Diceros bicornis minor: one gene and its partner. The protein of the gene in region 1 binds, or shares a complex with, the protein of each later gene. Links are inferred from orthologs where the notes say so. Each region holds a gene or a part of one and is shown in the gene's direction. Other genes may lie near its edges.

Region 1 (16,042 bases):
CCTGACCTGCCTTATGCTGCGGTTACTGGTATGCAAGTCCTATCTTCTGTACCAGTTTGAGGATCCATGGAGAGCAGAAGCAAGAGTAGCACTTACTTCTCTTTGTCTTCCCCTTGACACCTAACTCAGTGCCTGGCATATAGGGTTGCTGCGTGTTTGTTGGAGGGGGCTGCCCTGTGTCTTGGCTCCTTCTGACTTCTTGTCCCTGCCCCAGAGAGCAGGGTACTCCCTTCAGGAGCTGTTCCATCTGACGCGCAGCCGGGTGTCCCAGCAGAGAGCACTAGCACTGCATGTGTTGGCCCAGGTCATCGGCAGAGTGAGTGGACTGCTGGCCTGGTCCTGTCCCCCCACCCTTCACCCCCCAACCTTACACTTTCCCACCTCCTGCCCTTTTCACTCTGGCTCACTAGCCCATACACTGGTGGTCTGTGGGTCAGACTGGGAACGGGACAAACCCAGGGTCAGAGGTCGGCAAGTGAAGGGTTAGGACAAAGACTCTATAACTTCAGCATCTTCAACAAGATTTTATCCTCCTGCCCCTAAGGCCCAGGCTGGTGAGTTTGGGGACCAGCTAGTGGGCAGTGTCTTGCACCTCCTTTTGGATGCTGGTTTCCTCTTCCTGCTGCGCTTCTCCCTGGATGACAGAGTGGATGGGGTCATCGCAGCTGCTGTCCAGGCTCTTCGGGCTCTGCTGGTGGCTCCTGGAGATGAGGTACAGCAGGGATAGGAACGGGGTTTCGAGGCATCAGGGTCCCTACTCCTCCTGCCAGGCCTGCCCTCATTGCTAAGGCTTTGCCGGGCAGAGCAGAGATTGGGATGGCAGCATCAGCCTCTTCTCCTGAAGGCCCCAAAGCCCAGGAGCCTTGCCTCTGTCCTTGGTGGGTAGCTTCTGCCCTCTCCTCCTGGACCCATTTCTTGGCCTGACCTCTTCTTCTTTTTCCCACCCTCACTCTTTTTCCTCTGGCAGGAGCTCCTCGACAGCACCTTCTCCTGGTACCATGGAGCTTTGGTGTTCCCTCTGATGCCCAGCCAGGAGGACAAGGAGGACGAGGATGAGGACGAAGAGCCCCCAACAGAAAAAGCAAAAATGAAGAGTCCTCAGGAAGGAAACTGGCCTCCATCTGACCTGGCCCGACATGATGTCATCAAGGTAAATGTGCTGGGGCAGCTGCACGTGTCCCATGACCTTGAGGGCAAGCACGTGTCGGGCAGGAGGGTCATCAAGGCCTGGGGCCCAGCTGCATTTGGCAATGAGTTTACCCCTCTGATCCTCAGGGGCTTCTGGCCACTAATCTGCTGCCTCGGCTGCGCTACGTGCTAGAGGTGACCTGCCCCGGACCTTCTGTGGTCCTTGACATCCTGGCTGTGCTCATCCGCCTGGCCCGGCATTCCCTGGAGTCAGCCACAAGGGTGAGAAAGAGAAGGAGGCAGGGAATGGGCAGAGAGCATAGCTGGGCCTGGTCTTGACCCACAGCCTCCCTACTTCCCCTTTCCTCCTATTCCCACAGGTCCTAGAGTGCCCTCGGCTGATAGAGACCGTGGTTCAAGAGTTCCTGCCCACCAGCTGGTCCCCCATGGGGGTGGGGCCTACCCCCAGTCTACACAAAGTGCCCTGTGCTACTGCCATGAAACTGCTTCGTGTCCTGGCCTCGGCTGGTAGGAATATTGCTGCCCGGCTGGTGAGCAGGACACAGGGCAGGGATGGGAGACTCGAGACAGGGCTGGGTTGGGGGCTAAGCATGGCCCCTGGACTCTAGGTGGCCTGCTCATGCCATCTTCCTCTTCATATCTGTTCCAATTGCTTAGAAATGCAACAGAAATCACCAGGCAGGAACCTAGTCACCTGGAGCCTAGTGTATCCTGTAGCCCTACTCTGCTGTCATATGAAGGGAGGGCTCTCTGTTCCCTGGACCCAGACCAGAAGAGCTACATACACATAGGCACCCATCACCTGTAGCCAAGTAGCCCTAGAAAAGGTGCCCAGCAAGTGCTTGCTAAAAGGAGGGAAGGAGAAAGGGAGGGAGGGAAGGAAGGAGGAGGGACGGGGGGAGGGATGAGGTAGTTTCACCCTTGCCCAGAGCTATGACCCTGTGGCACTAAGAGGGACCTGGAACAGGGCTGGGACATTGGCTGAGTTGAGCCAATCTCTGTAGTGAGAGAACCTCAAGCTTGAAACTTGGGACCCCCAGCTAACTCTGATCCCCAGACTCTCTGCCCACCCCCAGTTGAGCAGCTTTGATCTCCGGAGCCGCCTGCGCCGCTTTATAGCTGAGCCTCCGCAGGAACTGGCCTTGCCCCTGGAGGAAGCCGAGACTCTGAGCACCGAGTCCTTCCGTCTGTGGGCTGTGGCCGCCTCCTATGGCCAGGGTGGTGACCTTTACCGGTGAGGAGAGCTGGGGGTAGGTTCCCTTGTAGACCCCCGTGGTTCTGCATTCTTGCCTAACCTGGTGACTCAGCCTTGCTCAGGTTTCAGTCTTGGAAGGAGGCTGAGAATGAAGAAGAGGGGATTCTGGGAGGAATGAAGAAGGCTTAGGGATCAGGACTAGCTGGGGAAAGTGGAACAAAACAGGGTTAACCACATTCTGTGCACAACAGCATTTGTGTCTTGGCGAAATCAGATTTACATTCCCTCTTGGGGGGAAGCTTTGCAATGCTACCTCCTTCCCTTCAGCCCCCAGCCTTCCTTCCCTCTTGAAGCCTTCCAAGAGTACCCAGCCCTGGGCCTCTTCCTCCTGCTCCTCCTTAACCGGCTGCAGATCCCTGGGCGGGGCCTTGCCTTGTGTCTGACATGTCCATCTCCCTTCATACACTGAAGGCAGTAATTGTTCTCCCCCAGGGAGCTATACCCAGTGCTGATGCAGGCCCTGCAGGCTGTACCCAAGGAGCTCAGCCCCCACTCCCCTCAGCCCCTATCCATGCAGCGGATAGCCTCGTTGCTCTCTCTCCTCACTCAGCTGACCCTGGCAGCCAGCAGTACTGCCCCTGAACGCAGCAGGTAGGTTACAGCCCTGAGCTGCCAGCAGGGATGTCCTACCAGGAGCTCTGGGACAGGTGGGAGTGCTCCTCCACAGGGAGAGGGTTGCTAGAGCTTAAAGGGGGGTTAAGGTGCCAGATCCTCACTGCAGCCCCTTTTGGCACTCCTGTAGTGACTCTGCTGAGGCCAGTCTGTCGGCCACCTCTTCCTTGATCACTTGGACACAGGTGTCTGGGCTCCAGCCTCTCGTGGAGCCATGTCTAAGACAGACCTTGAAGTTGCTGCCCAGACCTGAGATGTGGAGTGCCCTGGGCCCGGTGCCCACTGCCTGCCTGCTCTTCCTGGACGCCTACTACCAGGCCTGGAGCCAGCAGGTGAGTGTTGCCTGTCTGCCTTCCACCATGCCCTGGGTGTCCTGCCTCCATCTTACCCCTCCACCCTCTTTCTCCCTCTGTCTCCACCTCTCCACTCCTGCCTCCCCATTCCCACCTTTTCCTACTCTCCACCTTTTTCCTCCCACCTTTCCTCCTCTTTCCACCTCCATATCCAGTGGAGCTTCCAAGGAGCCATGTTGGTGGGGACCAGAGACCCCAAACAGCAGATCAGTCTCCCTGGAGCCTTTATGCTCTCTTAGGAGCCCTAGAGAGTGGGTGCCGGAGCAGCCTCGGGGTCTTCTCTCCCTCCAGAAGGGTCAGAAGGCAGAAGCCTCCAAACACTGGCTCTTTGGGGCTCTTGGAATCATGGGCTTAGCCTGGGTTCACAGGGTCTAGGAGAATAGGTGTCCTTGGCCATCAGCTCAGTGAGCCCCTTGATCCTCCAGCCAAGCTTGTGCCCAGGGGACTGGCTTCAGGACATGGAGGGCCTGTCAGAGGAGCTGCTGCTGCCCTTGCTGAACCAGCCCACTCTGGGCAGCCTGTGCGATTCCCTTGGGTATGTACTGTGTGTGTGGTTTTGTGGAGGGGAGTGAGGAGGCGGTTTCTCTCCTTGTGGAATTCCTGGGTTTAGCTTCCTAATTCATCCCAAGTGGAACCCCTCAGCCTGAGGGAAACCTGAATCCCTAGCAGGCAGCAGTTACGGTGAGCTCTGAGGAATGTGGGCACTCGTTTGCAGAGCCAAGCCCCTGCTGGCCTTGGTCGCAGACCAAGCAGCTCTTTTCCAGCCTGGCGCACATCAGGCCAGAGCCCCCATCAACTTCTCTGTTTTGCCCTCAGGCGCTGCTCCCCTCTCTGCAACCCGCTGTCCTGTGCTCCAGCCCCTGAAACTCTCTCCAGCCTCGTGTCACTGGGCTGTACAGGAGGCCGCCCCCCTCTCAGTCTAGCTGGCTCAGCCTCCCCCTTCCCGTTTCTCACTGCCCTCCTCTCTCTTTTCAACACCCTGGCCCAGATCCACAAGGGGCTATGTGGCCAGGTGAGCTGTGGGCGCCTGGTTAGGGGCCAGACAGGGGACCAAGATAGCAGGAGTCAGAAAGAAAGGGGGAGGGTGCCCCTTGGGAAGGGAGGCCTTTTCTGCCCGTAGCAATTTCTCTGAGTTTGGCTAGGGAGGAGGGAGCTATCTGGGGAGCCCCAGAAGGAATCAAAGTCACCTTCTAGATCTGAACAAGCTTGCTTTTCCTCAGCTGGCCGCCATATTGGCTGCCCCAGGACTCCAGAACTACTTCCTCCAATGTGTGGCTCCTGTGGCTGCTCCACACCTCACACCCTTCTCTGCGTGGGCCCTGCGCCATGAGTACCACCTGCAGTACCTGGCACTCACTCTGGCTCAGAGAACGGTGGGTACCCCTGTCTGTCTGTGTCGGTTCCTCCCCACCCCGCCCTGCATTAGCTGCATCCTGCTTCTCTGGAACCTGTGCCGCTTCTGGCAGACCGCCAGCTCCTGCTTTCCTCCAGACACGCCAAGGCTCTGTGCCCTTCAGCATATATCCCTTTGCTTATCTCCTCTTCTTCACTGCTTTTTGCTTTGTCCCGTCTCACCCTCTCTCCCTGCTGCCTCCTGGTTGTTCTGTCCACAGGCAACACTCCAGCCAGAGCCGGCCACAAATGCTGTCCTCCATCATGGCGTGGCCTTGGCCCTGCTGAGCCGGCTGCTGCCCGGAAGCGAGCACCTCGCCCATGAGCTACTGCTGAGCTGTATATTCCGGCCAGAGTTCCTCCCGTAAGTCCAGGGTTGGTGGCATCAACTCAGCCCTTTGAGAGGCTGCTGTGATTGTTGACAGAGCAGCCTTGAATTTGCAACTAGGAGACCTGGGTTTCATTCTCTTTCTTCCATGGATTACACTTAACCTGTCTGACCTTGCATTTCCTCATCAGTGAAGCGAGGATGAGGATAACCACACTAGAGAATATCATGAGACTTCAGTGTGACTATATGGCTAAAAGTGGTATATAAACTAGCTACACACATGTAATAGCTAACAGTTACTCAGTGCTTACTCTTTGTCTGGTAGTCTCTTAAGTATTTGTCTATATTTTAAGTATTTTACCTGTACCATGAAATAGGTATTATTGGGGCCAGCCCTGTGGCGCAAGCAGTTAAGTGCACGGGCTCTGCTGCGGCAGCCCGAGGTTCGCCAGTTCGGATCCCGGGCGCGCACCGACGCACTGCTTGGCAAGGCAAGCCATGCTGTGGCGGCGTCCCATATAAAGTAGAGGAAGATGGGCACGGATGTTAGCCCAGGACCAGTCTTCCTCGTCAGAAAAAAGAGGAGGATTGGCAGATGTTAGCATAGGGCTGATCTCACAAAAAAAAATTACAAAAAAAAAAAAAAGAAATAGGTATTATCATTATCATCTCCATTTTACTGTGAAGAAACTGAGGCACAGAGAAGTTCTATAAATTCGCACCCAGGCAGCTGGCTCTAGTGTCCATCCTCTTAAGTGCTACACACACTGCATGGCAGGTTATTAGGGGAACAGGGAGGAGTAGGATTGGACCTAGGAGCCGCTGGGAAGCCCTGGAGAGCTGGCATGGCCTTCTGGGTGCTGTGGTTCCAGCCCTCATTTTTGGCTTTTGGATTCTTTTACAGGGAAAGAGCTTCAGGGGGTCCTGAGGCAGCTGACTTCTCTGACCGGCTGTCCTTAGGGAGTGGCAGGGACCCTGGGTGTGGACGAGGGCCTCAACTAGCTCAGGCCTGCCAGGACCTCCCCAGCATTCGCAGCTGCTACCTGACCCACTGCTCACTGGCCCGAGCCAGTCTGCTAGCCTCCCAGGCCGTGCATCGAGGGGAGCTACAGCGAATCCCAGCCCTGCTGCTCCCTGTGCCTAAGGCGCCACTGCTGCCCACTGACTGGCCTTTCCTGCCATTGATTCACCTCTACCACCGGGCCTCAGACACTCCCTCGGGGCTCCCTCCTGCTGACACTGTGGGCACAGCCATGCGGGCCCTGCAGTGGGTGCTAGTCCTAGAGAGCTGGCGCCCCCAGGCCCTCTGGGCTGTACCTCCTGCTGCCCGCCTGGCACGGCTCATGTGTGTGTTCCTGGTGGACAGTGAACTGTTCCGGGAGACCCCAATACAACATCTGGTGGCAGCCCTCCTGGCCCAGCTCTGCCAGCCCGAAGTCTTGCCAAACCTCAACTTGGATTGCCCACTTCCTGGTCTGACGTCTTTCCCTGACCTCTATGCCAACTTCCTGGAGCACTTTGAGTCTGTCTCTTTTGGAGACCACCTCTTCGGGGCTCTGGTACTCCTTCCCCTGCAGCGTCGGTTCAGCGTCACCTTGCGTCTCACCCTCTTTGGGGAGCACGTGGGAGCCTTGCGAGCTCTGGGCCTGCCTCTGACCCAGGTACTTTCTCAGCCCAGCAGAGCCTACCATGGGCACCCACACTGGACCTTGGGGGCAGTCCCAAGCTGTGGGGAGCTTTGGTGGACCTCAGTTCCTTATCTTACCTCTGAGGGGCTTTGAGGAGATTAAGAGAATCCATGAAAAGTTTTTTTTTTTTCTTGTGCTGAGGAAGATTAGCCCAGAGCTAACATCTGTGCCAGTCTTCCTCTACTTTGTATGTGGGTTGCTGCCACAGCATGGGGAGAGATGGGGGAGGGACGTGGTGTAGGTCCGCGCCCGGGATCCAAACCCCCAAACCTGGGCTGCCAAAGTGGCGTGCATGGAACTTAACCACTAGGTCGCGGGGCTGGCCCCCATGAAAAGGGTTTAACATGGTATCTGGCATATAGTGGATGTTTGTTATTATTAACAAACATGGCTCTTGCTCCTGAGCTGCTATAATCTAGATAAGAAGAGATGTACTAAAAAACCAACATAGTTCTAAATCATTCAAATTCTAGGTGTTAGTCAGGATTCAGAGAAGGAAAAGATCAAAGTGGGCCTCCCATAAGGAGAAGGCTTTGTAGAAGTGGGGATTGATCTGGGTTTTGCAGGTTGCGTAGAATTTGGATTGTTGAGGAGGAAGGGCAGGATGTACCTAGTGGAACAGCATAAGCAAAAGCTCAGAGGCAGAAAGGAGTATGACAGGGTGGGAGGAGGGAGGAGTCTAGAACAGATTTCAGTTTGGGAACTTGTTGGAAACAAGACTAATAAAGCCTTAGAGGGCCTCAAATATCAGGCTAAGGAGTTAAACTTATAAGCTGTAAAGAGTTACTATTTTTTTGTAAGATTTATTTTTTTTATTTTCATTATAACTTATTCTGGTAAACTTAAAATATAAATATTTTAATATATAAATACACGATATTTGTATATAAAATATAAGTGTATATTTTATATAAAAAACTAAAAATATAAAATATTTTTAAGAATTAAAAAGAACATTCCAGTTATCCGTAATGCCACTGCCCAGTGGTAACCATTTTGATTTTGATTTGTCTTTTTCTAGTCTTTTTTATGTGCATATATATTTTTATAAAATTGGGATCACTGCATAATGTTTTCTTCATTTAACATTACATAATAAGCATTCCCTACATCATTAATATTCTAATAAATCAACATTTTTTATTATTACATAATAATCCATTGTGTAGGTATCCCCCAATTTATTTTATCAGAACCGCTTGGTGGGCATGGAAGTTGTTTCTGATTTTTTGCTATTTTAAGTAGCACTGTAATAAACACCATTGGACATTAACTTTATCTCTATTTCTCTCATAATCATTTTTGCATGGAATTAATAATAATTTTTAGAAAGAGAATTAGTGGTCCAAAGAACATGAACTTTTGAAAGATTTGACAATATAATTGAGCAGTTGAAGATGACATTTTGAAAGTTTTAATTTTACATGGATTAAACAAGTAGTGGTAGGCAGTAAAAATTCACAGCTTCTTCTCAGTTTCCCAGCTTCCCCTGCTTTCCAGCTCTTTAGTCTTTCACCTTGATCCTTGTGGCAGAGAGGGACACGTGTCTGTCTAGGACCTGATCTCTGCCCTCGTGACTTGGTTCATGTGACCATAAGCCACCCACCCTGCATTTGGGTGATACGCATTCCCACCTTCACCCAACATGTCTCATTTCCCCTGTCACAGTTGCCTGTGTCCCTGGAGTGCTACACAGGGCCTCCTGAAGACAACTTGGCCCTCCTTCAGCTCTACTTCCGGGCCCTGGTTACTGGTGCACTCCGTCCACGCTGGTGCCCCGTGCTCTATGTTGTGGCTGTGGCCCATGTCAACAGCTTCATCTTCTCCCAGGACCCAAAGAGCTCAGTAAGTTACATCCCCATCTCCATAAGGAGGAAGGGAGCCTGCGATGAGCTGCTTCTGGGGAGGAGGTGAGGGCCAGGCAAGCCAGTGATGGGTACCAGCCCTTGGCCCAGTGCCACCTGTCCCTGTTCTGCCTCTAGGACGAGGTAAAGGCTGCCCGCAGGAGCATGCTGCAGAAAACTTGGCTGCTGGCAGATGAGGTAGGTGGGGCACATCCTAGATGGGGGGAGAATAGAGGGTCTTCAGGGACAGAGATCTCAACAGGATCTCACTACCCAATTCATGAAGTTTCCTCCCTTTTTGTAGGGTCTCCGGCGGCACCTCCTCCACTATAAGCTTCCTAATTCTGCCCTCCTAGAGGGCTTTGAGCTCTATCCCCAGTTGCCGGCTCTGCGTCAGCAGTACCTCCAGAGACTGACCTCAGGGATGCTCCAAAATGGGGGATCAGAGATCTAGTATAGCTACTACAGATGAAGAGATGGATGCATTCTCCTGGGGTTCACCAGCAGATACCTGGCCAGACAGAAGGGCTTTGTGTCCTACGGGTGGGCAGGAGACAAAGGAGCAGAAGGCTTGCCTTCCTGGAAGCAGGCTGTATGAACTTTTCTGGAGCAGGGTAAGCCCTACCCTTAAATCCTGATATCTGGAGCTCAGGATCTGGGGCTTCTGAGGGTCTGTGCTGGGAGTGAAGGGTGACTTAGCTACTTAACTCCCTCTTGGGGACAAGGCAAATTTAGTATCCCCGCCCTCCTCCCCAGCCCCAGGCCATGGTATATGAATGCTATAGCTGTGCATTGAAATAAAAAAATTTTTTATCTCTTGGGAATCTGATTTGGACTGATTTCAGACGTGTTAGTTCAGGATTGGTATTGAGGGATGGGTTATCCCAGGGGAGAAGCAGGACTACTGTGAGAGAGATGGGAGAGGAATCATGAGTGGGAGGTGAAAATTGAGTCCACATCTGGGATAACAAAAATGTGAGTCCCAGTTCTAGAGTGGAGCCAGACCAGGGCAGTGCTCTTGAGAACAGGGCCACTTCTGGAAGGACTCTCTCTGCAGTTGACTTGAAGTATAGGTGTGCTTAATGAGGTCAGCATCTTGTCTTCTTGTGGTCCCCTGTTTCTATCAGCTGCTGTCCTGGGACCTGAAGAAGCCAAAAATCAGACTGGTGCAGTAGCTGTCTCTTAATTGTTTAGGTAACAGTACCATAGACTGGGTGGCTTATGAACAACAGAAATTTATTTCTCATGGTTCTGGAGGCTGGGAAGTCCAAGATTAAGGTGCTGGCAGATTTGGTGTCTGCTAAGGGCCAACTTCCTGGTTCATCGACAGCCCTCACATGGCAGAAGGGACATGGGAGCTCTCTGGGGGCCTGTTTTTATAAGGGCGCTAATCCCATTCCACCCATGAGAGTGGAACCCTCCTGACCTAATCACTTCCTGAAGGCCCCACCTCCAGATGCCCTGACACTGGGGATTAGGTGTCACTGTATGAATTTGGGGGCACACAAACATTCAGTCTATAGCACTGTCCTACAACACCCCTTCCACTGTGGACTTTATTGGTGGTTAGGCACAGGCTGGGGAGGAGTGGGTCAAAGCATAAACTCTGGTTCATCACTTCATCTTTCTTTTGGTAGAGTTTCCAGGTTGTTGTTTTGTCTGAATTCTAACACATAAACTTTCTTACAGTGTCATTTGCTGTGTGGAATTACTTACCATCATTGTTTTTACAGGTCATCAGGGTGAGTGCAGAGTGCCCTGTCAGTAGGTAGAGAGAACCCACTCCCCATAAATGGAGCTGCTGAACACAAAACTATACAATAGGTTTTATTAAGCGACTACTATATCTGCAAACAGCAATAGTTCTCAAACTTATCATGTGACAAAACTCATCTGGAGAGTGTGTTAAAATGGATTGCTGGGCTCTACTACGAGTGTTTCTAAATCAGTATGTTTAGGCTGAAACCCAAGAATTTGCATTTCTAACAAGTTCCCAGGTGATGCTGCTGTCCAGGACCAACTACACTTTGAGAACCATTGGCTGACAGGGACCTTGCAAAGTAAATTCTGTGACCTCAAAGTGGGGTGTCTACAGAGATAAATAGGGCATGGGGACCAGAGATTTTACAAAATCACTGTTATGTCTACACCTAGCACTTATACTCAGAGACTTTACCAAGTAGCTAACTACTATAACTTCTTTTTACCAGTGTTTTATAGTAAACGCAGGCCTCAGTCTTCAAATTAGTATTTTGAGCACAAGAATGAGGACCCCAGACACAATCACCTGAAAGCTAGTGGCCCTCACAGTTGCAGGGTGCCTTGTGGGTTACAGAGGAGTTTCTCTTCATAGGATTTTCCAGGTGGTGAGGACATTGTCTCCGAGCAGTTGTGACCTGTGCACCATCACCCGTTGACTAGGGATGCTAATACTAGCATTCAGAGCTTCTGACATCAGGTCTAGGACTTCACTTGGCTTTCACATCACAGTAAGAAGTTGTGCAGTTAACACAGGCAACAGAATTGTATGAGGTGAACCCAGAGATCCATGTTTCTGAGGGTGTCGGCAGGTTCAGCCTGGCAGTCACAAAGGCACTGAAAGACACAAGTAATGGCAAGTAATGATGCTTTGGGGCAGTTTAAAAAGTACTTTCCATGTGTTATCACCCCCCCCACACACACACACACCACCGCTGCCGCCACCACCAGTGAAGCGCACACCCGCCTACTCCTGATGTGAGAGACCTAGAAGCCCAGCAGGGTGTCTGGAGCATGGCGTGCCACTTTGTCACGCTTCTGCCTCAAAAGTGGTGGTGGCTTCCTCCTCTGCCTCATACACACTACGTTCCCTGGGGCAGCCAGCAGCAAACCCAGTGGCTGGAGACAGAGAGCCCTTGGGTGGAGGCGCTGCAAGCTCTGTTCAGGAAGCATGGGGACCTGGCTGCCCACACGCCCCTCCCTTCCCTCCTTGGCATCCCAGGGTCTGAGGTGGGTGTGGCCAGGCCGGCTTTAGGACCTGGCGGTGACTAGAGAGCGGCTGTACACTGCTATGAGCGGCAGTCTGGACCGAAGTGGCAAGATCTGAGCATGCATCCCTAGCTGCAGTGGGCTGAACAGGGGATGGGCCGCCCGGGCTGGCTGCTGCTGTGGCTCGGAGCCGCAGGTAAGTGCCTTCTGGCAGTCAGCGAACCGTCCAGCCAGAAGCACCTTCCTAGGGTTAGGGACGGCGGTCGCGACAGACCGAGTCCCAGTGGCTCCTCCAGAGCCTCCACCCCTCGCGGCCAAAGCTCCCAGGTTCGTGTTCCGGGAGGGCATGCTGAGAAGCGCGGTGAGTGCCTGAATCCGAGGACCCCGGATCACGCTTGGGAAGGAGGGACAGGCCCTGGGGTCTCAGCACCGCCCGTGGGCGGAACCACCACGCTAAGTCAAGGAAAGGATGGGGGCCCTGCAGGACTGAGCTCAGTGCGGCCCCCAAGTCATCCACTGGGAAGGGCTCTCCAGGGGAGAAACTTGCAGGGGTATCAGTGGGCACCCCGCGGGGCCTCGGCGACCAGAGTTGGGTTGTGGCCGGCTTCCAAGCGCTGGTGTGCACTGGCTAGGTGGGGTTAGGGGCGTGGCCGCGAGAGGCAAGGGCTGGCTGTCGAGAGGTTATCTATCGCTTTATTTCCCGTCCTCCATTAACATCCTGCTCCCTCTCCCAACGCTGCTCTCTCCCTGTCAACTTTCAGGCACAATTTTCTGCTCCAGCTCAGGATCCCAGGCGCCTTTTCTGCCATCTTCGCTTCTGCCGCCGCCAGCTCCAAGGCCCCGGGTCCCGAATGTCACCGCCCTGCTTAGCGGCTTGGAGCCAGCCTCTCCCCTAATTCCCCGAGGTGAGCTCCGAGCTCCTTCTCCCTTCTCCGCTCACCACGCCCAGACCTTTGGGCCGGGGGGGGGGGGGGCGGGGGGGGGGGACGGAGACAAGTGCTCTATGACCCTTTCCTCCCTCCCTGCTCCCAGGCACCCAGGGGCCCTGGAGGTTCTCCACCTGCGGGGCCAGTGGTCCGCGCGGGCCCACACAAACACAGTGCGACGGGGCGTACGCTGGCAGCAGCGTGGTGGTGACAGTGGGGGCCGCCGGGCCTTTGAGAGGAGTGCAGTTGTGGCGGTCGCCCGGCCCCGGCCAGTACCTGTAAGTGCGGAGCAGGGAGAGAGGTGGGTGGAGAGCTGGGAGTCGGAGGTTCTGCGGTTAGAGGAACGAAGGCCACATGCGCACCACATTGCGTCTTAGGGCATACCGCAGCGACCTGCGGACTGGGCGACCTTGACTGTCCCTACTTCCAGCGGAACCTGGGGAAGGGCCGAAATAGTCGCCACCGAGTTAGCTCGTCCCGGAGCCTGTTCCTGTCCAAGCAGAGGGCCCCAAACCAGCGGCGGCGCCAAGGGATGGCTTGAGCCTCCCCTATCTCCATTAAGCCTCCTTAAAAAAGTGTAAAATGTAATTTTTTGGTGTGCAAACCTAGTCTCTCCATCTCTTCAAAATCGACTACGGCCTCTAAGTGCCTCAGATAAGAACTTCTGGGGCCACCTCTGTCACCAGCCTCTACCCCAGACGGGCGGCCTGAGGACCGATGGTCGAGGGCTGTGGACTCAGCGCCCGCTTTCCGCAGGATCTCCGCCTACGGCGCCGCGGGCGGCAAAGGCGCCAAGAACCACCTGTCGCGGGCGCATGGCGTCTTCATCTCTGCCATCTGCTCCCTTCGTGGTGGGGAGCCGCTTTACATCCTCGTGGGGCAGCAGGGAGAGGACGCCTGTCCGGGAGTAAGCGGAGCCTGTGGGAAGGGGGCGTCTGAGGCGCCGCAGGGCGAGGGCAGGGTGGAGGGAGGCGCGCTCCCCGGTGTTCAGACATCAGCCTCGCGAGGGGAGGGTCCCGGGTCCGCTGATTCGGGCGCGCGGTGCCCGCAGGGGAGCCCGGAGAGTCAGCTCGTCTGCCTAGGAGAGTCTCAGGCCGCTGAGGAGCACGCGGCGACCGATGGGACCGAAGGTGTCCCAGGGTCGCGGCGCTGGGCAGGAGGCGGCGGGGGTGGCGGGGGCGCCACCTACGTCTTTCGGGTACGTGCTCGCCCCCGCTCCGGCCACTCGCGCCCCCAGCGCTCAGCGTCGGGGTCCCAAACCTCTCCCCGCGGGCGCGCACACACGAGCTCTCCGTACCGGCCTGGGGGTCCCCAGATCCCGGGGGCTGGCTGGGAGCCCCTTGCCTTACTCCAGCCCGGGTGGCGGGAGCCCTCGCCCAGTGCCGGGTCCTCACGTGACTGCCGCTGGCCCGGTAGCTGCGCGCCGGCGAGCTGGAGCCGCTGCTGGTGGCGGCCGGAGGAGGCGGTCGGGCCTACCTGAGGCGGCGGGACCGAGGCCGGGCTCAAGCCGCCTCTGAGAAACTGGAGGACCGCTCGGCGGCGCTCGGGAGCAGCGGGAGGAGCGGGGCGGCAGGTGAGGGCGCGGGCCACGGGGAGAGGTGGGCCTGCTCCTCACCCCGCTGCCAGCCGTCCCGCCGTTTCTCCGCAGGTGGAGGGGGCGGCTGGACGTCGCGGGCCCCCTCTCCGCAGGCCGGCCGCTCCCTGCAGGAGGGGGCGGAGGGCGGCAGGGGCTGCGCAGAGGCCTGGGCTACGCTGGGTTGGGCCGCAGCCGGAGGCTTCGGGGGCGGCGGCGGGGCCTGCACTGCGGGCGGAGGCGGCGGCGGCTACCGGGGTAGGTGCATCGTTGGGGAGGGCAGCTGGGCAGCCCTGGGGTGAAGTGAGGTTAGAGCCTTAGAACAGGCCGGAGTCCCTCAAAAGGATTAGCGGGAAAGACGTTGAGTCCCGCTCCAGGCCAGAGCAGGTAGAGAGCTCTTAGAAAAGGTGGTCACATAAGTTGCAAATCACACGTGCAGACAGGACTCTCTAGATTTTATTTAAATCCAGGACCTCTTCCATCACAACACGTCCCCCCCTTGTTCTGCAGCAGTCCCAGGAACTTAGAGCTGGGCGAGTTGGCAAGCTGGGCAGGGAGGCAGACAGGCAGGGATAGTTTAAGTAAGAAATTCTCATGTGGTCTCTGAGTCAGCATCAGCACCGCCTAAGAAGTTGTTAAAAATGCAAATTCTCAGCCGCCCTCCAACCTACTGAATCAGAAACTCTAGGGGAGGGTCCCACCATCTGTGTTTTAATCAATCCTCTAGGTGATTCTAATACACCCCAGAGTTTGGAAACCACTAGTGTAAAGAAACAGAGCCTTTGAGTCTATCTGGGCTGTGCTGTTCATAAGTACTTTATACACATCATCTCCTACACATTATCACAGAAATGGAATATGTGGGTTGGGCCTCTCCCATTTCATAGCACCCCCAGCCCTCGCCCTGACTGCTTGGCTCCCACTTGTGAGCTGGCAGCACCTGTATTGTAATGCTAGTGTGGAGAAGCTACACTGGGGTTTCCACCAAGAGACTCCAGCTTCCCCACTGTTCATAAACCAGTTTTCCAGCTGTGAGGCAGCTGTGTGCCCCTTCCTCCCTGCATTTTGTAGCCAAACCTTCTATCACTTTCAATTTCCAGGGGGTGATGCCTCAGAGACTGACATCCTCTGGGCTGATGGGGAAGATGGAGTGTCCTACATACACCCCACCAATGAGCTCTACCTGCAACCTCTGGCAGGTATTGGCCCCTGCCCCTGACCTTTCAGCCTGGCCTAGCCCTTTTCCTCAATCCCTGAGCCCACTCCCATCTGAGCCACAAACTCCGCACTGTGAACTACCTGTTCTTGCACAGCACAGGAACATTTGGGACCAGGGCTGTCAGTTGGATGTCGCTTGGAGCATTCTGGGGCACTTGCCAAGTATCTCCTTGCCATGAATTCTCTTTAAATACCTGCGAGCTTAAGGATCCCTGAAGAGGGAGTGTGCAGGCTTGACAAAAGTCCCCCTCCCACCCACCCTTAAATGCCAGGCACCGCTCCTTGTTCCAAAGTCCAGGGCTAGAATTAACCATGTAGCTGGAAAAAGTCTGTGTGCTCCCCCCTCACCCTGCAACATCAGTTCTTGTACTCATAGTCACAGAGAGCCATGGTGAGGTGGAGATCCGCCAGCACTTCAACTGCAGTCACTGCCTTCTCACTGACTGCCAGTGGCAGGCGGAGGTCTGGTGGGCCGAATGCATGTGCCCAGAGGGCATGGAGCTGGCTGCAGATAACATCACCTGCATGGGTATGTCCTGCCTTTGTCCAGGGTCTGGACTCCTGGGGCCATGGGCTGGGAGGAGCAGTAGGGCATGGGGAAAGATGCCTGCTATGTGCCAGGCACTGTGTTGGGTGCTGGGTGGGGGACTGGAGATGCATCAGTGCATGCTCTGCCTTCAAGGAGCATGTAGGCTAATGGTCTAGTGTGGGAGGGGTGATGCCTGTCTACATCT
Region 2 (15,254 bases), on another chromosome or scaffold:
GAAAGCCCTCTGTGGCCACTTCCTCAAAAGCAGAAGATCCAGATCTGTCCAAAAAAATAAAAAGGTTATTTACATCGCTAGCAGAGGACTGAAAATTGTGAGCAGTTAACTGAGTGTGCTGCAACAGAGAATCAAACGGCCGCTGGTCTCTGGCTGTCCTAGCATTTCTACCTCTGTAATTTATTTTAAAGGAGCCTAAAATTAAGTCTCACCTAGACATGGCAGTCACCTAAAGCAGGTGGGTGGGTGGGTTATTATTCTTGTTTTGCAATGAAGAGAAAGAGGCTCGGGGCGCGTTCAATGCTCCCTGAGGTCACGCAGCCGTGACGTGGTAGAGCTGGGGTTTGAATCCGGGTAGATTGATTTTGGAGCCCATTTTCTGGAACTACCTCATTAGACTATTTCCGATACTCTATTCTTACTTGAGTTAGCAGCAGCTAGTCAACAGGCATTAGTAAATTGCTTGTACCATGGGCTATGACCAATTTTTATTATTTTGAGCACAGTCCAACATATACTAACTTATTTCTCCTTCAAGATCAGAGTGCTGTCTTATAATTCATTTTGTCCTGTGTAGCATTTTACATATAAAAGTTTATTAAATACTTTAAAACTCCAATCTTTTACTTTTTAAATTATTCCCAATCACTTGGATGGTTTATATGAACTCAGCATAGGGCATAAACATTTAAAAGTTTGTAATGATTCCAACATTTGCCTAAGAGCATTACAATTTCTTTCTCTTTGTATCTGAGTATCTCAGCTCAAAAATATGAATAGAATGTACCATGATGCACTTGTTAGGGAATTATAAATGATATCTTTTTCTCCCACTTCATTTAAGTGTGCCATTTAGCTGATTCAGAATCATAAAAGTGATGTAAAGGTAGCTCAGACTAAACATGTAAAAGAGGAAGTGCACAAGCGTTTGTGCATTAAGATTTTTATAATTCTGATATAAGTTAGTAGTAGCTTTAAACGCCCCCATGTGTTCAGAATGGCCACGCTGTAGGGCGCCCTCACCCGGGTCGTGCGTGGCCAGAGCAGCTCCTCTGTGAAGCCCAGCTTGCACCCCCTTTGGCCTCAGCGTGCAGTCACCACGGAGAGTCGTGTAGTCAGATAGACTGGGTCATTCTCTTCTTGCCTGGCCTTGATTAACAGGGAAATGTGGACAAGAAGTCTTGCACAGAGAGAAAGCAATTTCCCAATCTCCTTACACCTAAACATCTTTTCTTTATTTCAACGCTGCACTGTAAAATGTTTTCTTTTTCCTGAGATGATAAGAAACACAGAATACTTACCACCAGCATATTCAACAAAAAGCCTCCTGTTACCTGTCTGCTCAGTGGAACTCATTGATTTTAAATGAGATTGGCTGTCACATTTATCACGGCTCACAGATTCTTTGTTTCATTTTCCTGACATGCAGTGTAGAGGTAAGGATTTAGGTTGTCGATTGTTTTACCATAGAGTCTTTCACTGTCCGTAATGCAACTCAACTCCAAAGCTTATTAATGTTCAAAATTTCTGAAACTTGTTTGTGGAAATTGCATGTTATCATAAAACTAGTTTGTTATAGGAAATGTTAGTTCATAAATATACCTATTACTCATTTAAGTTATAAATGACCTTACTGATTTTCTCCCTTCCTTTCCTTTTCTTTGTTCTACTGTATAATTGTATGAACCATATATATACACACACAATGAAAACTCTGAAAAGCTGGTAGCTAAAAAATGGAAAATTAAAAACATACTTGAAAAATAATTTTAAGAAAAGGGTTAGTAAAGTTAGAGTTAAACTGGAAACAGCCACATGAACTCATGAACTTTAAAACTTAGGTCGTTGCTACCCTGCTGACGTTCATCCCAACTGCCCTGTTTTGTCATGGGGAGCAATCTGATATTCATCTCCGCTGAAACCTCCTGGACGGTAGCCGATTCAATCCCTCTCCTTGAGAGAAAGGAATCAGGGGAATCATGATGTACCTGGACACCTTTGTCGGTGCTAGAAAGCAAGGATGCTTGATGCTGTCACAGATGTTTGTGGAGTGTCAGGGAGAAAGGAGACAGCGTATGAGGTTCCAGCTGACTGAACTGAGTTGTTTGAACATCAAAAAAATAAATAAATAATTTTGTGAAAATTATTATGAATTCTTAATGTTATTCAAAAGGAGTAGGCAAAAGCATGCACGATTCTTCAATCATATTTACAGAATATGTTGTATATTACTCAATTCAAACTACGTGTGTATTGAATGAAGTTTAGGTCGAACCAGACAGTGAAACATTATGTAACAATTTTTCAGCCTGGGGTGTGTTTGTGTATGTGTGTGTGTGTAAAGTTCCATTAATATAGGCAGAAGAAAATTGTGAAGGAAATTATTTTAAAAGTTTTGTAAGAGTTTTTTAAAAAAAAGGTAAGGGTCATATGTAATACAGCAAATTCTAGAGAGAAATGAGCTTGAAAGGTTTTGTTACTATAGGAAAGGGCCTGGTTCCATAAACACCATGATGTGGTTTAATTGTCTTAGATGTTCTCCCAGGTTGTGTTACAGTCCTGACCTGTTCCCTGAATTCAAAACTGAATTGACGTCCTGAATTTCTAACAGAAAAACCTGAATCAATAATCTCAGCTGACCTGAAACAGGACTTCTATTCACCTTGGTCAGGAAAAATAAGCTTGTTATCCCAGAAGGTGCAAAATATGTATAGAGATAATTTTTACAAAATTAAGTTTATATTATCAATAATTTTGGGAAAGTGTAGCAAGACGTTTTTCAATACTTGTGCCTTTTAACATTTTGTCTTTTAAAGATGTTTGAGAGCCCAAATAGCCAAAAAAACTTGAGAAAGAAGAACAAAACTAGAGGCATCACACTTCCTGATTTCAAACTATATTACAAAGCTATAGCAATCAAAACTGTATGATATTGGCATAAAAACAGACACATAGATTAATGGAACAGAATAGAGAGCCCACAGACAAATGGTCATTCATAATATATAGTCAATTAATTTATGACAAAGAAGCCAAGAATATGCAATGGATAAGACACATTGGGGAAGGATAGGTCCCTTCAATAAATAGTGTTGGGAAAACTAGACAGCCACATGCAAAAGAATGAAACTGGACCATTATCTTACACCATACACAAAAATTAACTCAAAATGGATTAAAGACTTGAATGTAAGACCTGACATAAAACTCCTGGAAGAAAAGATACCAAAAAAGCTCCTTAACATTGATCTTTGTACTGATTTTTAGACTTGACACTAAAAGGGAAGGCAACAAAAGCAAAAATAGACAAGTGGAACTACATTAAGCTAAAAAGCTTCTGCACAGCAAAGGAAACCATCAACAAAATGAAAAGGCAACCTACTGAATTGGAGAAAGTATTTGCAAATCATATATCTGATAAGAGGTTAATATCCAAAATATATAAAGAACTCACACAACTCAATAGCAAAAAACAAACAACCCTATTGAAAAATGGGCAAAGGAACTGAATAGACATTTTTACAAAGAAGACATACAAATGGCCAAATGGACATGAAAAGGTGCTCAACATCACTAATCATTAGGGAAATGCAAAGCACAACTACACTGAGATATCACCGCACATCCGTTAGCATGGCTATTATAAAAAAGACAAGAGAGAACAAGTGTCAGCAAGGATGTGGAGAAAAGGGAACCCCTGTGCACTGTTGGTGTGAATGTAAATTGGTGCAGCCACTATGGAAAACAGGACTACCATATGATCCACATGATCCAGCAATCTCACTTCCAGGAGTACAGTTATGCATCACTTAATGATGGGGATACTTTCTGAGAAATGCATCGTTAGGCAATTTCATCATTGTGCAACATCATAGAGCATACTTACACAATCTTAGATGGTATAGTCTACCACACACCTAGGCTATATGGTACTAATCTTATGAGACCACAGTTGTATATGTGGTCCATCGTTGACCAAAACGTCGTTATGTGAGGCATGACTGTATATTTGAAGAAAATGAAAACAGGATATTGAAGAGATATCTGCACTCCCATGTTCATTGCAGCATTATTCACAATAGCCAAGATATGAAAACATCCTAAGTGTCCATCAACAGATGAATAGATAAAGAAGACATGATATATATATATATATTTCACATATATATATATATATGTGAAATAAGCCACACAAAGACAAATACTGTATGATATCACTTATATGTGGAATTTTAAAAAAGTCAAACTCACAGAAACAGAGTAGAAAGTGGTTTTCAGGGGCTGAGGATGGGGGAAATAAGGCGAGGTTGGTAAAAGGGTATGGACTTTCAGCTATAAGATGAATAAGGTCTGAGGATCTAATGTATAACATGGTAACTATAGGTGATAACACTACTATATAATTGAAATTTGGTAAGAGAGTTGAACTGAAATGTTCTCACTCCCCTCAAAAGAAAATGTTTGAAAGAATCAAATATATTAAATTTGTGATTGTAATTTAAAATGTTGAATAGGGTTTGTTGGTGTTAAATATTTAGGGGATCTTAATATGTTCAGTTTATTAGCCATTTTATAAAGAAATGAAGATTTCAGTTTCAAGGCTTAAAAACTTGTTTTAGTACGTGCACTGTTAAATATTGAGTTATTTAAAACACTAGTGACTGTCTAAGTACCTTTTTCCACACAGCTATCCCTGCTTTATACATTAAAAACAAGTTAGCAACACAAAATGCTGACAAGGATGTGCAGAGCAGGAACTCTCATTCATTGCTGGCGGGAATACAAAATTGTACAGCCACTTTGCAAGACAACTTGGTGGTTTCTTACAAAACTACACACTCTTATCATACAATGCAGCAATTGCTCTCCATAGTATTTACTCAAAGGAACTGAAAACTCATGTCCACACAAAAACCTGGACACAGATGTTTACAGCAGCTTTATTCATAATTGCGAAAACTTGGAAGCAACCAAGATGTCCTTCTGTAGGTGAATGGATAAATAAACTGTGGTACATCCAGACAGTGGAATATTATTCAGTGCTAAAAAGAAAAGAAATTATCAAACCATAATAAGATCTGGAGAAAACTGAAATGTGTATTACTAAGGAAAGAAGCCAATCTGAAAAACTTACTGTATGATTCTGATGAAAATAATAAGAATAATATTAAGTTTTCACACATCAAGGTATACGGGGAAGCCATTCTGGTTTAAATCTGATTCGGCCTAAAACTTGTTTTTCCCACAGCAGCCTGACTTACGGCCCACCAAACATGCATTGTACATCTGCTTCAAACATTTTCCCAAAACAAAGAATGCACTCTTTAAAGATAAGAATGTAGTGTCTCCTCCCTCTGATGCCGATACCAGTACTTCTTTGAAGATAAGCTTTTCATCCCAGAGAACCATGGTCAAGTCGACCTGCTCTGTAATGTCAAATGTTGATATATGTTCTTTGTTCTGAAAGGGTATGTAACCTTGCTGTAAACCACACTTCTCTGGAGTGCTTTCTTCTCTGTGGAAGAGAGCACTTCTGGGCTAGTCTTTACATTAGGCTCAATAAATATCACTCTATCTTTCTTATCTATAGATTGGTTATTGATTATTAGTGTTGACAATTCCAACTAAATGACATTCTGGAAAAGGCAAAATGATTGAGACAGCAAAAAGATCAGTAGTTGCTAGGGGTTGGGCAGGGGAATGGGAGGGATAAATAGGTGGATCACAGAGGATTTTTAGGGCAGTGAAACTACTCCATGTAATACTATAATGGTAGATGCATTTGTCCAACCCATAGAATATACAACATTAAGAGTGAACCCTAACATAAACTGTGCGCTCTGGGTGATAATGACATATCAATGTAGGTTCATCTGTTGTAACAAATGTCCCACTCTGGTTGGGGATGTTGATAATGGAGGAGGCTATGGGTGTGTATGGGCGGGCAGGGGGTATATGGGAAATCTCTGTATCTTCCTCTCAATTTTGCTGTGAATCTAAAACTGCTCTAAAAATAAGTCTGTTAAAAAAATAAGTTAGCATATGTTACTGAGATTGTATCTCCATCAACACTTAAAGTTGCCTCTGAATTAGTTAGCAAGAGGTAGAGCAAGGAGCATTAAGTTGGGCCAGTAAGACGAGGAGTCAAGGATAAACAATGAACAAAACAAAGAAAAAAAGCAAAGAGTAAATTAATTATAAGCAACCTGTTTGTTTATGGTAAAACCATTATGTTGGGGAGCTACATCCTTGAAGCTAGATGCTTCACAAAGATGAGGATCTTGTCTATTTTACTCACAGTTGTAGCTCCAGTGTTTTCTACTGTGCCTGGCCTACAGTTTGCATTCAGATAATTTTTGTTGAATGAATAAAAGTGGGTTTCAAGGACCACTTGCTTCAGAACTACCTGAGTCCTTTAAAATGCAGATTCATTGGGCATTTCCCATGTGGGGCTGAAATCCCTGGGAATATCAGAATTTGCATTCTTCACAGACACGTTACATTGCAGTCTGAGAACTACTAAAAGTCAGTCTCTTCACTTTGTCAGAGAGAAAATTGAAGCTCACTAGCGCGCTCAAGGTCACATAGCTAATGACTGAACAGAGAGCAGAGCTCCAAGCGTCAGGCTCTGAAAACCTCTTCAGATCCTTCACTCCCTCTAGTTTCAATATGGAGAAAGCAGGGAGACAACCCAGCTTCCAGGGTTATTTTTTTTCCTTATAGTTGATTTGGAGTCCATTTCTCATTGTCATTTCTGTGTCACTTCTTCTACCAGCAATATTTCACACTGTGTTTTTCCCATAGTTTATCATAGGCGTCCCTAACTCATTATGTTTCTAATTAAAATTAATTTTTGAAATACTTGCCAATGGCCGTGGACTCCTAATGTGTTCTTATTTCACTTGAATAGAGCTGTGAGAAGGAACTTACTCCACCTAACTAGGGCCTTCTGAGACTCTTAAAAGAGTCTTAAAATACATTAAAATGTATTTTTTCTGAGATGGCTTTTCTGCGTCTCCTACGATGGAAGCCATTCTCACATGACATTGAGTGTGCTTTGGAAATACTTGTTTCTTATGCTTCCTTGAGTGATTCGAAGCCGCAGTCTCGCCTGTATGACGACTTCCCCGAGTTTCATTCATAAGCGTGATGTTTATAGGGCTCTTGTAAAGCCTGCTATGTTTCCCCAATTTCCCGGACATGTTGGAAATACCAAATCTAGAAAAACTATTTGACCGAGTTGGGATTATTTTTCAGGGTTTGTGACTGACAAGATCTCTTTGTAGGGTAATTTAGGGCAATGCCTAAAGCGGTTATTCCTTCCCTCTCTCTTTCACCTATTTGCCGCTTTGCATCTGAAAAGATAATTCGCAATTGATTAGCGAGCAATTTAAACATTTCTCAACATACTTAACATAAAACAATAAAGCGGGCTAATCAAATGAGTAAAATCACAGTACTTTACAGAGCAACGGTTTGATCAGAGATGTCCACCTTTATTTTAATCAGGACAAGTGGACTTAATCTCATTTTTCTATCGTTAGCATGGACAAAACATTTGCAGAGTTCTTTATCTTAAAAAACCTAGCCGTCTGCGGTCTTTGGCGTGCTGGTGGACCGTGGTGATTTCACCTGTGGGGACACCACACCGGTGACTCCGGGGGGACTCCAATCGGGGCCCGAGGAGCTGGGCGTCCGCGGTGGGCGGTGCAGAGCGCAGACCCGGGACCCGCTCCGCCCCCGCCCCAGGGGAGGCGGCCCCGCGCCGGGCGGAGCCCCCGCCGGGCAGGTTGGGCCCCGGGAGCGCGGCGGGGGCGGCGGGAGGGACCGCTCAGGGCGGGAGGGCTCTGGGCGGGAGAAAGTGGACTCCGCGCCTTTCGGCCTCCAGAATCGCGGTCTCCGCCCCTCAGGCCGAGTCCCGGCGCTGCTTTCCTCGTCCGGGCCCAGAGCTGCGGGTTCTGTTGACCGCGTAGACGGGGCGGGCGCGGGAGACAGAGCCCCGAGAGAACCGGCGGCGCCGCGGCGGGTCCTCACCCGGCCCTCCCAGGGACGGAGCGGGGGACGCGAGCCGGGGGGCCGGGGCGAGGGAGCCCCGAGGACCAGGCTGAGCCCGGGCTCCGGTCCGTCGGGGGAGGCAGCGCGGACTCCGGAGGGTCTCGGGCGCTGGGACTCGCCTTGTCCCCGGGGCCACCCCCGCGGTCCCCACCTGCCGCCCCGCCTCGCGTCCCCGCCCCGCGACCCCGAGAGAGCAGAGATCGGCCTGCGCGGGCCAAGTCCCAGCGCCGCTCCCGCCCGAACCCCAAGGGGACACGGCGAGGACCCCGGCGGCCGGTAGCGCGCGCCCAGCCCCGCCGCCCCTCTCCTGGGCGGACCTCCACTCCCGGCCCCGGCGGCCGCCCGCCCGGAGCCCCCTGCCCTGTCCTCGGGCGCGCGGACATGCGGCCGGCCAAGCCAGGCGCCCCGCTGCCCGCGCTGCTCCTGCTCGCGCTGGCGTTGTCCCCGCAGGACACCCAGGGGAGGCCCCGGGGTCGCAGGGGAGCCCGCGTCGCCAACGAGGAACCCAAGCTTTTCCTCCCCGCGGCTGGGGCCGGCCCGGCGTCCAGCGCCTCCCGGAGCGCAGGTAAGAAGTCCCCTCCCGGCCGGTCCTTCGCGCTGAGCCTGGGTCTTAGGGGATTCCTCTTGGAGCCGGGAAAGGCACTGGCTTTGGGAAGCCTGAACTAAACACAGCAGAGGAGACCCTCTCTGCAGATAACCGGCTCTCAGGGAAGGAGGTACTGAGTTGATCAGATTGACCGTTGTGGAGACTTAAGTAACAAAGGAACCAGCTTGATATGGCCCTTCCCGGGTGTGAGAGGCCTTTTACGTAGGCTGATAGGGCAGCCAGAAGACCTGGGTTTCAGTCCCAGCTGACGAAGTACCTGTCAGCGCTTCATTCTGCGTCTTCCTAGGTTTTGGGAATTAAATGCGATCGTTGCCGTCACACCTGAACGTGCTCGGGATGCTCCTTTCTTTCCGCTCCAAGCTGGCCACAGGGACTGGTGGAGGAACGCGCGAATTTCACCAAGAATTTCAGCATGCCGCGGTGGCTTCTCGCTGACCTTTCCTAGGCCAGGTTAGCAGGCCCCAGACGCTGCCTGCAGCTCGCAAAGCAGCTCCGGGCGCTCAGCTTCCTGGCTGCTTAGATGCCCAAGGAGGGCTGAGAGGAGAAATGAGGAGGGAGAGAAAATAGCCAGAATAGTGGGTCATGAGACACCCCAAGCTAGAGAAGTGCAGTAAATGAGGGGAAACCGGAAAAGCCCAGGGCACAAGGAGGTCACAGCGGGCGCAGAGGAGTGCAGGGCGCCACGGCAGGAAGGAAGGTAGAGAGGAGAGAAGAGAGAAGCTACTCAAAAGTGTTTCTGTTTAGAGCCTGTGAAACTACAGGGCAAGGTGGAGCTGCCGGCTAGGCTGGGAGCAGAAGGGCCCCTCCTCAGGGCCGCCCGGCTTGCTGAGAGCGAGGTCCCAGCTCCCTGCCTGGGGAAGCCCAGCAGCTGTCACCTCATAACGCCTTTGCATCACGCTTCACTTGTAAGAAAGCAAAGAGGGATTATTTAATGTCATTTTTCTTTCATAATAGTTATGATATAAGTATATACTGATTCACTCCACAAATCTTCACTGAGGAGCTGTTGCATGCCAGTCCTCGTGCAGAGGGCTGAGGTCGCAGGGAGGAGCAGGCAGCCAGGTGTCTGTGCTCTCTGAGTTTGCATTCTGGGTGTGGAGGGAGGGGAAGGCTGGCGCACAGGGAAACCTAAAGAGGCGGGCAGCGACAGGAGCGAAGGGGGTGATGGGGAGGGCCTCAAAGTTGAGGTGGGTTGTTCCTGTGTCCAGGACCTGGGCAGAGCTTTCCAGGGTGACCTGCCAGCGCAGGGCTTTCAGGGAGGGAGGTGGAGCAGGATGGTGACCACAGCAGTGATGCAGTGATGATGCCACACCCTTCATGTACTTGGACTTGAAATTATTGTTAGCCCAAATATTTATCTCAGAGAATGCAGTGTCACTTTGGAAAGTAAAAGAGTGGGAGAAACTCTCAAACTGCAGAAACATTTATGGTTACACGTTAATTCAGATCTGTTTCATTTAAGTTTTTAACAGATCTTTTCTCTTTGGTTAAAAACAGTGAAGACTTACTGAAGTGAGTTACAAAGGAGAAAACAGAATATTTTATTAAAAGTTAAAATAAAAGTGGCCACCGTCTGAAGTTTTAAAAAACAATGCAGCCTGAGAGAAAGTGATCTGTGGGTCACCCTCCGAGTCCATTGTTTCTGTAGCTGTTTATGATGGTCTCCTCTTTTGATGACTGTACTTTATTAACGTGAGCAGAAAGGGTGGCTCATTACATCTATATCTGAGTCTGTGAATGGAACACCTGGGTGTGGATCAGGGACCAACAAGGACATGAGAATAGAGGACAACCTATCTGGATGTTCTCACAGGACACTCTCAGGTGGCGATGGGGGTCATAGCTCATTCAGAAGGAAACATCTCCCAGGTTCTGGAGGCCCAGGACTCTCGTCCCCTCCAGATGTGTCTGGAGTCCTGCCCCTTTAATTCTGCAGCATAGTAAGCACCGTCACCCAGACCTAAGGTGCATGCTCTGGGCTCTGAAATCCTTGCTGCATGTGTAGTTGTGTGCTCTCCCTTTTCTGCAGGTTAGGCAGCCTCCCTAAATATGGATGTGAGGCACCAGGTAGGGGGACCATTCCAGGTAGAGGGAGCAGTAAGGCTGAAAGCCTGTGTCCAGACAGTGAGCAGGAGGATACCATTAGGATTGTGGGGTGGCGTGGAAGGAAATGTGAGTGTTAGGTTCCCAGGTGCACTTGGGATTCACTGTCTTTGGCTTTCCCTCCCCCCCACAGCCTGCCCATTGTTCATGCATTTATTCATCTAGCCATTCAACACACATTTGAGGTCCCTCTGATGGCCTGGGAATATGAAGTTAACAGATATTGTTGGCTCTGGTTCTCCAGGAGCTCAGTTTGGTTAAGAAATCCTGCCTCAAATGTTCTAGAATCTGATTCTTCCTTTTTTCTGTCCTTCCCATCACCCCAGTTCAAGCCCTCATGACAGTGTGACATTGACCTTCTAGATTGTCTCCACAGCTCCATTAGTGCCCCCTGCCAGAGTCTGCCTTAATGAGATAAGAATTAGAAGGTGTGTGTTTTCATGGCTGTTACTCCTCTCTTCCCTTGTCTCTAACCATCACATCAGCAGGATGGAGCAAAGAATCCTACCGCAAACTCTGCCCAAAGAAAGGGAGCATTGAAGCACTTGCCACTGAAGTAAAGACAAGATCACACAACTGAGAAATGGGCAGTGGTGGGAGCACAGGAGATGTTTGGAGGAATTTGGGACAGAAAAGGAGTTGGTGTGAAATGTGGGGAGATAGAAGTATAAGGGAGACTTTTAGAAAGTTTGGTGTATATTATGGCCCCTCTGCCTTTTCAAGAGATTTCAGTAAACCTTTACATTATACTGCAGACTTTCTGGAATCAAATTTGTGTTGTGTGTGTTTTTTTTAAAATATAAAACCTCTCTGGCATGGGGCTTAAGGCGAGAACAGGAAGGTCATTTTGATGAGGTTGTTCCGAACAATCGCAGAAGAACATTCTTCGTAAGTAGTGCTGGCCTGTCACAGTGACTTCCTCCCCAGTCACAGATCGGCAGTGGCTTCTCCTAATTTTCTGAGCAAGCCCTAACTTCTCTTGAAGACAGGACATTCAGTCCCCTGTGGCCTGCCCCGTCTGCCTTCCTGTGGCTCTCAGTGCACCACAGTAAGTGCCCCTGTTCCAGTCACAGGCATTCGGCCTGCTCCTTCCAGATGCCTCTGCGCTTCTGCTGTCTCCTGCAGTGTGCTTCTCTCATCTTTGCCTGTCAGAATCCCACCTATCCTTCTGGGCCATCTTCCTTTGTGATGTCTTTATAGTTATTTCCGTGTTCACAAATATCTAAATCTTAAATTCACTTTGCAAATGTCCCCACAGTTCTGATACAACTTAAAAAAAACGTAAAACTTAAAAAAATATACTGAATACTGCTGGGACTTGCATGATAGTGGGATTCTATGTGTATGACCCAAATTCCCTCTGTTGCAAGTCTGTTACTATTATATCTGCCCTCTTAGCCAGTCCTGCCTGGTGAGTAACAATTTCTTCTACATGATAATAAAAATAATTTTTCCCTGCTTTGCATATCACCCAGAAGGGGGTACAGATGGGTACTTTTTAGTACTCTATTTGCAGAGTTACTTGAAGCTATTTGATTTACTGAAAACTGTTGGCATGGGAAGAGGTCAAGATGGAAAGGTTGTGTATGAGATTTTGCCAAGTATATGTGGCGAGTGCTATCACCAGAAGGACACATGCCATGAGCATCCAGAGCTAACTTACATGGATGCACTTCTGCGCATTCAGAGTGTTTCTGAGTAGTAACTGTTGTCTGTTTGCAGGAGCTCCTTCATCTAGCTGGTAAGTAGAGAAGTTCTGTGCAGGAAGTTGACAGAGTCACACACGATGGCTTCTTATTCCCTGCAATGACACAATCCTAGGAGACTACTTTTCAATCATATCTTGGCTAGGAAAACTGGATTTAAAAAGTTCCTTTTTAATGTTAATTTTTTTCCTTTTATTTTTTATCACTTTTATTGCTGGAAATGAGCTCTGGAGCATTTAAGAGTAGATTTCTAAAATCTTTGTTGCTGTGTAGAAAGACAAAAACATGTGGCCACGCGACTGGTGCAGAGTCCAGATGTTTCCCTCTTGTATCTACTATTGTAGGAAACGTCATAGAAGAGGGAAGTGGCGTGTTCTGGAGTTTAGGCATTTGTTAGAACTTTAATTCTATATCTGTCAACAGCAGCTATCAGGAGATAGTAGCTAAAATATTTATATCATGTTTGAAAATGTGTAGTATTTTACATATTAATAACATTAAAATACTATTAAAAATGTGATTTACTTGGAATTATTGTGAGCCTTTTTGCTTAGATTATCTCATTCTGTAATGATTTCTTTCTCCTTTAAACACAGACAGCATTTTTCTCCTCCTACAACACTCCTCATATTGTAACTCATGTACGTTTGGTATCATATTGTAACTTGTGTACGTTCAATATTATATTATCATCAAATATTATTATATTTGTCTGAATGTAAGCCTCTTTAAGTTGGGGACTGAGAATTACTCAGTTTTAATACCCTGTAGCCTGCCAAAGTTACTGTATAAAGTTGACACTTAGGAAGAATTTTTTCTTTAGAACCGAAATTTTGAAAATTTGAGTTTTTTTAAAAATTTAACTTTAAAAGTAAAAGAACTTGATTTTTTATTTGCCCCCAAAGCCAAATTAGACCTATCCTCTTACGATTTAATCTGTGCCATTCTGAGTCCTGAGCTAATTTCTTAGCATTTATAACCAAGTTTAGACAATACAACATTTGCTGCCCTTAATACCTTCTGGAGCAATGGTTCTTAAAATGAGGCTCTTGGGGCCGTATGCCTCAGAATCAACTGAGAGGCCAGTTTCAGATGTAATTGTTGCACTGCATCCTGGATATCTTAAACCTCTGAGTATAGCCCCTGCGTGTGCATCCACAAGCTCTTTGAGGATTCTTGTGTACTATTGAGTTTTTGGAACCACTAGAGATTTTTAATTGCGGAGGGGAGGAGAAAAGTGGTTTATCAGAATCTTCTGGAAAATTTCTTTGAGAGAGACAACTCCTGACTTCCCTCCACAACCATGGCCATGCTTCTATTTCCTCGGTAGCTCACTGCTCCCTCTCTCATCCCCACAGGCACCCACAGCTCTATAGGTACATTTTCCAGTGTGTTTTGAAAGATAGTCTATGAAAAAAGGCTTCCTTGGTCTACCAGCTTCAGGAACATGACCATTAAGTCCCTCGTTAGAGAAGCACTATACAAGAACTGCAGAGACCTGTGGGACAGGAAACTTGATGTAAACCGGTATTAGCCAAACTAACCTTCCTTCCCTCCTTTCTCCCTCCCTCCTTTCCTTTCTCTCCTTTCTCCCTCCCTCCTCTCCTTCCTTCCTTCCTTCTTTCCTTCCTTCTTTCCTCCCTCCCTCCCTTCCCCCTCCCTCCCTCCTTCCCTTCCTTTCTTCCTTCCTCCTTCCTTCCTCCCTCCTTCTCTCTCTTTTTAAAATCTGTCATTTACTTCCATCTCATAGAAGTAGTTTTGAAGGAGTCCACTTTGGAAAACATTGTTTTGGCTGCTGCAGGCAGCCCAGCTCTACCTCAGCACCTGGGGGATGCTAGATAGACAAGGCCAGCCAGAATAGAGTACCAGGTGAAGAAGGAAAGGCCACCTGGGGAGGGCAGAGCAGCGAGGGGGGGGCATTATGGGTGACTCATCAGGCTGCTAGTGGTGTAAGAAGTGTGACTACAATAAAAGGCATACACTTGTTCAGTGGAAAAATAAATATTGAGATAAATTTAATAAAATGACAAGTTATTCATCTAAAATTTAACTGATGTTCCTGAATAGTATGCTCATTGTAAACATTTTGTACTTTTGTTAATATTTTTAAAAATGTGATATATGAGCCTTCAACCTGCTTAAATTCTACAGAATGCATAGCCCTATTCATTTATCAAACAACGTGTCTACTTCACTTGGCAGACTATGTTTTCTCTGTGGACAACAGAGAAATTATGTGAGCCAACTTTTGAGAAAATGTCTTACATCTTTATTAAGTGGTAGTTACTTTTGTAAAAAAGAAAACAAACACTAAACAATTTAAACTCCGAAAGGCCAATATTTCTGGCTGATGGATTTGTAAAAAGATTATCTATAGTATCAAATTGGCCATTGATCAGGGAGCATGCTGCAGGCCAGAAAGCACTGGGTCTGGGCTTGCTTGGGTCACAGAGCTGTGGGCCCTGGACGGGGTGCGTCTCTGGGTTTCTGGTGTCTCGTGTGTGCCACAGGGAAGAGCCCATCATAGAGGTTCTTGTGAAGACTAAACAGAGGGAGTGCTTCAAGTGCCTGATGGGGCTCCCAGTCTAAAAGGCAAGCTCCTCACTTGCCAGAGGCAGCAGTGGCCCATCTGTAAAGGTGAATGTTGTCATGCCTGCTTCAAAGCCTGGTTATGTTTATAGGAGGTTTTCTGTGCCCAGAAGACATGCCTGCTCCTAAGAAGGGAAAAACACAACCTACATGTTGGGTTTGGAATATTATCCATTTGTATAACTCTCTTCTGT

Evidence for each region.
Region 2: the proteins of LTK (region 1) and ALKAL1 are in contact, whole or in part, in a crystal structure (PDB 7NX0), measured with the Homo sapiens proteins. The link is inferred for Diceros bicornis minor from reciprocal best matches to the Homo sapiens genes LTK and ALKAL1. Residues at the interface, in NP_002335.2 of Homo sapiens: Tyr124, His140, Phe143, Ala250, Ser251, Pro252, Glu253, Leu359, Phe360, Leu361, Gln362, Leu364, Ala365, Val366, Glu368, Glu372, Glu374, Arg376; in NP_997296.1 of Homo sapiens: His93, Arg96, Leu97, Asn100, Thr101, Arg102, Glu103, Arg112, Arg115, Leu116, Arg119, Leu120, Ser123.

The regions. Positions count from the first base shown.
Region 1 is NC_080744.1:39,199,292-39,215,333, reverse strand, and holds the start of LTK (leukocyte tyrosine kinase receptor), read left to right. Parts: upstream 1-9,517; 5' UTR 9,518-11,744; coding exon 11,745-11,787; intron 11,788-12,352; coding exon 12,353-12,496; intron 12,497-12,623; coding exon 12,624-12,795; intron 12,796-13,273; coding exon 13,274-13,424; intron 13,425-13,568; coding exon 13,569-13,715; intron 13,716-13,933; coding exon 13,934-14,090; intron 14,091-14,165; coding exon 14,166-14,348; intron 14,349-15,190; coding exon 15,191-15,289; intron 15,290-15,684; coding exon 15,685-15,837; intron 15,838-16,042. Other genes in the region: RPAP1 (RNA polymerase II-associated protein 1), read left to right, coding at 215-316, 545-712, 968-1,150, 1,276-1,410, 1,509-1,679, 2,226-2,383, 2,837-2,995, 3,147-3,348 and 8 more. UniProt on the Homo sapiens protein: Receptor with a tyrosine-protein kinase activity. Following activation by ALKAL1 or ALKAL2 ligands at the cell surface, transduces an extracellular signal into an intracellular response.
Region 2 is NC_080772.1:6,560,399-6,575,652, reverse strand, and holds the start of ALKAL1 (ALK and LTK ligand 1), read left to right. Parts: upstream 1-7,981; 5' UTR 7,982-8,436; coding exon 8,437-8,620; intron 8,621-15,254. UniProt on the Homo sapiens protein: Cytokine that acts as a physiological ligand for receptor tyrosine kinase LTK, leading to its activation. Monomeric ALKAL1 binds to LTK, leading to LTK homodimerization and activation.